Linked DNA regions of Drosophila melanogaster. The gene in region 2 interacts genetically with the main gene of each other region. Each region holds a gene or a part of one and is shown on either strand. Other genes may lie near its edges. The genes, in order: htt and Jarid2.

The links.
Region 1: of Jarid2 (region 2) and htt, changing one enhances a phenotype caused by changing the other (phenotypic enhancement), as found in Drosophila melanogaster (one study listed by BioGRID).

The regions. Positions count from the first base shown.
Region 1 is NT_033777.3:28,694,144-28,698,069, forward strand, and holds the start of htt (huntingtin), read left to right. Parts: upstream 1-2,098; 5' UTR 2,099-2,188; coding exon 2,189-2,262; intron 2,263-2,528; coding exon 2,529-2,786; intron 2,787-2,849; coding exon 2,850-3,066; intron 3,067-3,127; coding exon 3,128-3,257; intron 3,258-3,926. Other genes in the region: snu (snustorr), read left to right, coding at 1-259, 323-383, 450-781, 841-1,015.
Region 2 is NT_037436.4:9,475,425-9,479,350, reverse strand, and holds the start of Jarid2 (Jumonji, AT rich interactive domain 2), read right to left. Parts: upstream 2,314-3,926; 5' UTR 1,845-2,313; coding exon 1,699-1,844; intron 794-1,698; coding exon 1-793. Other genes in the region: Uch-L5 (ubiquitin carboxy-terminal hydrolase L5), read left to right, coding at 2,504-2,579, 2,659-3,557.

The DNA.
Region 1 (3,926 bases), on a different chromosome or scaffold from region 2:
CTAATTTGGGACGTGACTCCGACGACGAAACGATCGACTCCTCCGAGGTCAAGGTCTGGCTGGACATGTCCAACCAGCAGATCGGCGTCATGCTCAATCGGGACATCCAGTTGGCCTTCAGGGACTTCGCCATGGGCCTTCTCGGCCAGTGCGGCAGCAATCCGAAATTGGGCGACGTGCCCATTCAGTTCAGGGACCCCATCTACGGCACCATGAATCCATCGTTCACCGATTTCGTGGCACCTGGCGTGATCTTGACGTAGGTTTCATAGATATACATTTAATGGGAGAGTCATTAATGCTTTTTTCACATATTTTATAGCATTGTATTCTTCTTGGCTGTCGCTTTGACGTCATCGGCTCTGATCATTGAGCGCACTGAGGTAAGTCGAGAAAATCTATCCTCTTTTGGGAATAATTATAATAAAATTTGCTTACTTCCATTCCAGGGCTTGTTGGATCGCTCCTGGGTGGCTGGCGTCTCGCCCTTCGAGATTCTATTCTCGCACGTGATCACCCAGTTCGTGGTGATGTGCGGACAGACCACTCTGGTGTTGATCTTCATGCTGGTGGTGTTCGGGGTTACCAACAACGGCGACCTATTCTGGGTCATCGTGCTGACCCTGTTGCAGGGCATGTGTGGAATGTGCTTTGGCTTCCTCATCTCCTCGGTGTGCGAGCTGGAGAGGAATGCCATACAGCTGGCGCTGGGCTCCTTCTATCCCACCCTGCTGCTGTCTGGAGTGATCTGGCCGATTGAGGGCATGCCCGTGGTGCTGAGGTGAGTTCTTGTGGTATTACTCTGTTGTGAATGGAAATTTAAAAAATCTTATCCCCCAGATACATATCACTGTGCCTGCCACTAACGCTAGCCACCTCTTCGCTGCGCTCCATCCTCACACGTGGCTGGGCGATACTGGAGTCGGATGTGTACATCGGCTATGTGAGCACGCTGTCCTGGATTGTGGGCTTCCTGGTGCTGACGCTTCTCGTGCTGCGAGCCAAACGCGGCTAGGATCTTCAGATATTACGCTACTTTTAGATGCCTAACTTTAGAACACGATAAGTCGTCCTAATTAGTTTACACCCACTTCGGGTCTTCTTCTTAATTCCACTTTCGAGTTTCACTTCCCTTCGTATCTGCCCAAATGTCATAAATTATTTAAGCACATTCGCAGCTTTCCTTAGCTTTCCACTCGGCACTCGTTTTTCCTTAGACTAAGTTCCGCACTTTCGTAGTTTAAAGCGTAAGGTTTAGGTACTCCTAAATGAAATGTTGTAAATATTTTGTGTCACGAATTCAGTAATCCGTTGCTCTAGATGTCCATTATTTGCAACCCTCTGTACTAGACCTTTTCTCGACGCCGACACGGGCAGTTTATCACATACAAACGCAACTAATTTTATATATTTTCAATGGACTGTGATTGTTTTTTCTACATAATTCACGCGAATACACGTAGGGCAAGCCTAAACAAAAAGAAAACACAATGAAAACGAACAAAAACAATGGTGGGTTTTGTTATTAACATTAAGTAGCTTAAAGCATTTTTGTATGGGTTTAAGTTTTTTAAGGTAAAACATAATTAAATACAATAATGTACGCAACCCTAAAGAGTATGTAAAAATATATTTCAGGAAATATTTTGCGCAGAGCATAAATATTTCACAACGAACAAACATAAGACAATGAACAACGAACAAGTGAAAAACGTTCTTATTTAAGTAAATATTAATGTGAACGCAGTTATGTATAAATAATAATAAAGCGTGAATAAATAAATAAAGTTAAATTTAATTGTTGGTTTACTTACATTTTGAAAAAGATGTTCTCATTTTAACATTGGCGCCAATGCACTGTTACTGTTTTCTAGCATGTCCATAACAGTCTTTTAAATGCAGGAAATAACAACTCATTGTGACCAACTGGCTGGAATTTAATAAATATGTTATCACTTCTAATTTTCTCCAAAACTAAAAAGATAATTTAGCAGGTTAGTTCAAAATTTAAATATTTAACGATAGCTAACTTGAATACCAGGGCTGGTCGCTGGTGTTCCGCTTAAAAGCAGTTGTGCGCTCTGGTAACACTGGCGTTACAGCTGATTGAAATCATAACAAAAGAGCAATGTTTTCCTGTGTTGTTTATGCTTAAAAAGCGATTTTAGGCGTTATTAAGGACGCGAAAATGGACAAATCCAGGTCCAGTGCGTACGACAAGTTCGTTGGCTTCGTGGAACAACTGCGAAATACGGAATGCAGGTGGGACTGAACGGAAATTTGATTGTTTTCGGTTGCATTGAATGTTTTGGGGAGGGGACCGGCAACAGTTTGTTGCTCATTACGGAACAATATTGATTAAATTATGAAGCCCAGGTGATTTCCGGTGGTTTTATTGCCCTTAAGATGAACCTGCCAACTTGTTAGGCCACCCAAAACATTCATTCAACATTGAGCAATAAGTGCATCCGCTATGACGTCATGCCACATACCTGTAATAAAACTAATTTATTTCGAACCCCCCACAGCCAAAAGCAGAAGATCACCTGCTTTCAGCAGATTGCCGAGTGCATCATGTCGCCCTCGCTGGCGGGCCACATCAACTATGCCGCCCACTGCGGCACGGCCACGAATGTTCTGCTGCTGTTCTGCGAGGATGTGGATTCCGTGGTTCGGATGAGCGCCGAGGAAAACCTAAATAAAATACTGAGGTCACTCGAGAAAACCCGGGTCAGTCGCATTCTTATGGATCTGTATGGTGAAATTAAGCGTAATGGTAACCAGAGGTAAGGAGGCAAATATATTAAAGCTAAAATAACAATCTTAAAAAAGAAAAACTTTCTGCACAGATCCCTGAGGATTTGCCTAAACCTTTTCTCCTACTATGCTCCACAAATAAAGGAGAAACACATCAAGTGGTATGCCGTGAGATTGCTCCAATGTATGACCACCATTTCCCAGCGCAAGGAGACGTTGCTCCAGGAGACTCTTTGCGACTTCGTCAAGCACTTTAGCCGCCATATACAACAGGGTCTCAGCGATAGCGAATCCTGCAAACTGTTCGAGGTAGAATAATATCCCTAAACGTCTTTTCTTTTTATGTTTAAGCGTTTGTTGACTTTTGCAGACTTTTCTGGACCAAATTAGCTCCGATTGTGCCGTCAAGCGTCGTTGCTCTGCCCAAAACTGCATGAGTCTGATTGAGAATGCACGCAATAGGAGCCTCATGGCCAGACATGGGGTCAACAAAGTGATGGGTAAGACAGCTTAAATAGGAAATGAATTTCTGAGAGAAATACGAAAAATCCATATGAACACTGCATCCTTACTAGCAACTATAGCAAATGAGAAGTTCGTGAGTGCTGTTATTTACTATTAGAAAAGGAATTTAAATTCAGCAGAATGATACACTTGTTTCAAAACTCTAGGGTCAGCTGTTATTGTTATTTCGCAAAGAGTAACACCATTAAATTTAACAATATTGCAGCCTTAATAACAGCCTCTATTGTTTGTACACTTTTGGATAAACGTATTCACTATTCGCTGCTATCGCTGTTAGTTATTTAACGCATTTTCGCTACGACACTTTGTGTTCAACAGGACGCTCTTTATATTCACATCAATAATGAAAGAGATGTTTAAAAAGCGTGTAACGGCCAAATACTAAGCCTCGCATAGATCGTCATATATATACATATATTGTTAGGTTCGTGCTGGCTCTGCAGCTAAAAAATATTTTTAATATTCTAAAAAGCCGCAAATCCATGAAAAATACCTTACCAAAATGTAAAGCCATCGAACTGCGAACTACGCGAGCGCGGGAATAGATGGTTTTTGGTTTTATTCAAACTCGAATTGTGAATGCAATCACAGCCATGGGTTTGTTTGTCTGTGGCCTGTGGGCGCTAAAGGGGGCGTGGCACAAT
Region 2 (3,926 bases):
CTTGACTTCCTCACCATTGCGCGAGGTGGCATCGTGAGCAGAGAAGAACTCATCTTCATCGTCATCTGCCTCTTGTTCGTCGAGATCCTCTGAATTGTCATCATCAATGACGGGTTTACTTTCCTTCGTGCTGGCACGATTAGAGCGGCGCTTGTTGTCCTTGGATAATGCTGCGGGTGTAGTCTTATCGTGGGAAATGCCTGCTCCTCTGCCTCTTGCTCCACGTCGATTACCATCGGTGACAACTTCTGCTCGTTTTCGCACTGCTCCTGGCAGTACAGGAGTAGGATTTCGCGAGGGAATCTTAGGCGCTTCAGCTGCAATGAGATTGTTTTTATCACTAGCTGGTTTTTCAGCTGTTGAGGGTTTCTCAGTAGGATCGGGTATAGGGGCTACCACATCCACCTTCTTGGTCGCGCCTTTGGCCGGTCGTCCGCGCTTCTTTTTGTTGCCAGCCAAGCTCGCTCGACTGTTGTTGGGCTTTCTAGCATTGTTATTATTGTTGGCTCCCGTCGACGAGGCTTCCGAATCCTTGGACTTGCCCTGGTTAAGGAAATCCAAGTGGGCGGGCAACGCGCGAGTGCCACGAAAGCATAGAAAGGTAAGAAAGTCCTGTGGCTTTGGACACTTGTTGGGCAGGATCTCGATAGGCGGCTGATTGCTATCCGCTCCGGAGGTGCTGGGCCCCGATCCGGATCCAGCTGCCGCTGCTGCTGCGCTGTATGCGATGCTGGAGGAGCTGCTGGGCGCACTCTGTCCCTGGGCAAACTTGCGCTGTGCCTGCACCTTCGTTCTGCAAATGGAAGGAGCCAAAGAGCAGTGTGAGAGATATTTAATTGGTGGTAACAAGGCAATATGATATAAATTAGAAAATTCAATATTCATTTGGGATCATAATAAAGGCAACATCACAAACAGTGGACATTCGATAAAAAGTTTAATTCGGTTAATAAAACTAAATTTACCATCCAACTTTATTTTAGGATTTCTGTGTGTATTATTCTTTGGCTATCAATTTATTTTTAGCATATAAATAAATGAAAGAATATAGGAACAACAATGAGGTCATTACTTTGTATTTGTAAACAACATTGAAACTATGTATGGAATATAGAAAATAGATTGCATGTAAATCAATTGATTTAATTGACAATCTAAAATAACAATTGTAATGTTAAAAATTAGTAAAATAAATTTCACTTATCAATTATTAAAAATGTATGCAAGAAATCATTTTTATATTCATTTGCTATGTATTCGGTGAAGTACCCACGACGTAGTAAATCAATCTGAGTAGGTAAATATTGCCTAATTATCAAAGCCGAATATTCAGCTTAGTGACTAACCACTGTATATATATATATCCACCTGCTGGGAAGGAGCGCTCCCCCAGCAGACCCCCCCCCCGCGCACGACGGATGCGAAACACCCCTTCGTCGAGGAAAACAACAACGCCACGACACGCTGTTGACGCTGGCTTATACAACAAACCGAGAGCTGCCCTCCGTAGTTACTCCCCCTTGTGACCCCCCCCCCCTGCAGTGCCCCACTCCCAACCCCTATCCGTTTCCATTCCAATCAAGCAGCTAACAAACGCTGCGACGTCATCTCCATATAGTGCCACACACGTATGTAATAATGGATAAGCCCTCTAAACATTACCCATATCGTTGAGCATATGTGGACTGGCGGACTCACCTCTTGGGCATTTCGGGCGAGGACTCGATGGCCGCCACTGCCGACGGAGGTGCCAGCGAGGAGCCAGCGGGCGGTACGGGCGGAGGCGGTGGGGGCGTCTCTGTCTCCTTGCGGCGACGCTTGTTGTTGTCTTTGGAGACAACCATTTTGTTGCGAACTTTTCGCGCCTCTTTTTCTCTCGCCTCTTTTCTTTCGCTCGCGCGCCTTCGTCCGTTGAATTAATTATTATTATTCGTATTATTTATTATCGCACATACAATTCTCCGCCGGACACTTCTTTATTATGTATAGATTTGCATATATATATGTGCACATATGTACGTATATATAAATATATATATGTACGTATATATCTACAACGAATAGCGTTTTTGTTGCTGCCTCTGCTGCAGCACGCAATTTTCGTATTTTCGCTTCATCTTAACGGCGACTCAGCGGTGGTTTTATCCCTCGAAATAAACACTAAAATGCTGTTTATTGTCTTGTTATTGTTTAGTGCACTCTGTGTTCACATTTCACACACGACAAGTGCTGCAAATTTCATTTTCTTTCGCGAGATTTGCTTGCACATATTTTTTTCGTCTTCTGCTTCTTCTTACACCGCTTTTGCTTTGTGTCATGGCGGATGGTCGGGTTGCCATACTATTTTTCCAGGGCGGCACAAGCAGTAGGCCACTCATTTGATTTCCGTCACATCTGGCAAGGTTGGTTCACTCTGTGAGTTGACAGAAAATTTTGTGCAGTAAAAGCACCATTTTTGTAGCGAAATCTATAGTAGAAAGATATTCAAGTGACTACTATTAACATGGGCGACGGTGCTGGAAATTGGTGTCTCATTGAATCCGATCCCGGGGTATTCACAGAGCTTATTCGCGAATTCGGTAAGTTATTGGCGGGCTTTGCCAGCGACGCCGGCAATTGGGATAAGAAAAGTTAATAATACTGTGTACGTTCGACCAGGATGCGATGGGGCACAGGTGGAGGAGATCTGGAGTCTCGACAGCGAGTCCTTCAAGAACCTAGAGCCCATCCATGGTCTGATCTTCCTGTTCAAGTGGGTGCAGGAGGATGAACCCGCTGGAAAAGTGGTCCTGGATCGGGAGAACATCTTCTTTGCCAAGCAGGTGATCAACAACGCATGCGCCACCCAGGCGATCTTGAGCCTCCTGATGAACCTGGATCATGAGGACATCAAATTGGGCGAGACCCTCACCAATTTTAAGGAGTTCTGCCAGTGCTTCGATCCGTACAACAAGGGATTAACTTTGAGCAACGCTAGCCAGATTCGCACGGTGCACAACTCCTTTGCTCGCCCAACACTCTTCGAGCTGGACACTAAGAACCAGAAGAAGGACGATGACGTGTACCACTTTGTCGGCTATATGCCCATCGGAGGAAGACTGTACGAGCTGGACGGCCTGAGGGAGGGACCCATTGATCTTGGTGAGATCAAGTCGGAGCAGAACTGGATCGATGTGGTGCGTCCGATTATTGAGAAGCGCATGCAGCGCTACAGCGACGGCGAGATCCACTTCAATCTGATGGCTCTGATCTCGGACAGGCAGCGCATTTATGAACAGCAGATTGAGAAGCTGCTTAATCCGGCGCCCAATGCTATGGACACTGAGGAGGATCGACAGGCGGAGATCAGTAGCTTGCGCACGTACATAGAGTACGAGATTCAGAAAAAGAAGCGCTACAAAGTGGAGAATGTGCGGCGCAAGCACAACTATTTGCCCTTCATCGTGGAGCTCTTAAAAATTCTGGGCGAGAACGGACAACTAATGCCCATCTACGAGAAGGCCAAGCAGAGGGCGCTAGAACGCGAGCAGGCGCAGCGCAAAAAGGATACCGACTAAGCATTTACAGTATATATTTAAAATTTCCCGTTGGACAATTTAAAATTGCTGCGATATTTGAAATAAAAGAAAAAAGAATGGAAATTATCAGATATTGAAACGAGGAGAGCCAGTTTATATTGCTCTTTAGTAGTTAGATGAAACTGCCTTTGTACTGTACTTTAGTTTTTATATTAAACATCCTGCTCTCTGCCAGTTAATCGTACGCACATCTGCGTGTTAATCTAAATATACCTTATACATATAGTAAAAAATTTAAATAGAACGCAAAAATAAACAGTTTCGGTAACGTAAAGAAAACACGAGTGGAGTGGATTTGGTTTTGCCTTTGTTCGTATAGAATATATTTGGTATATATAATTTACAATT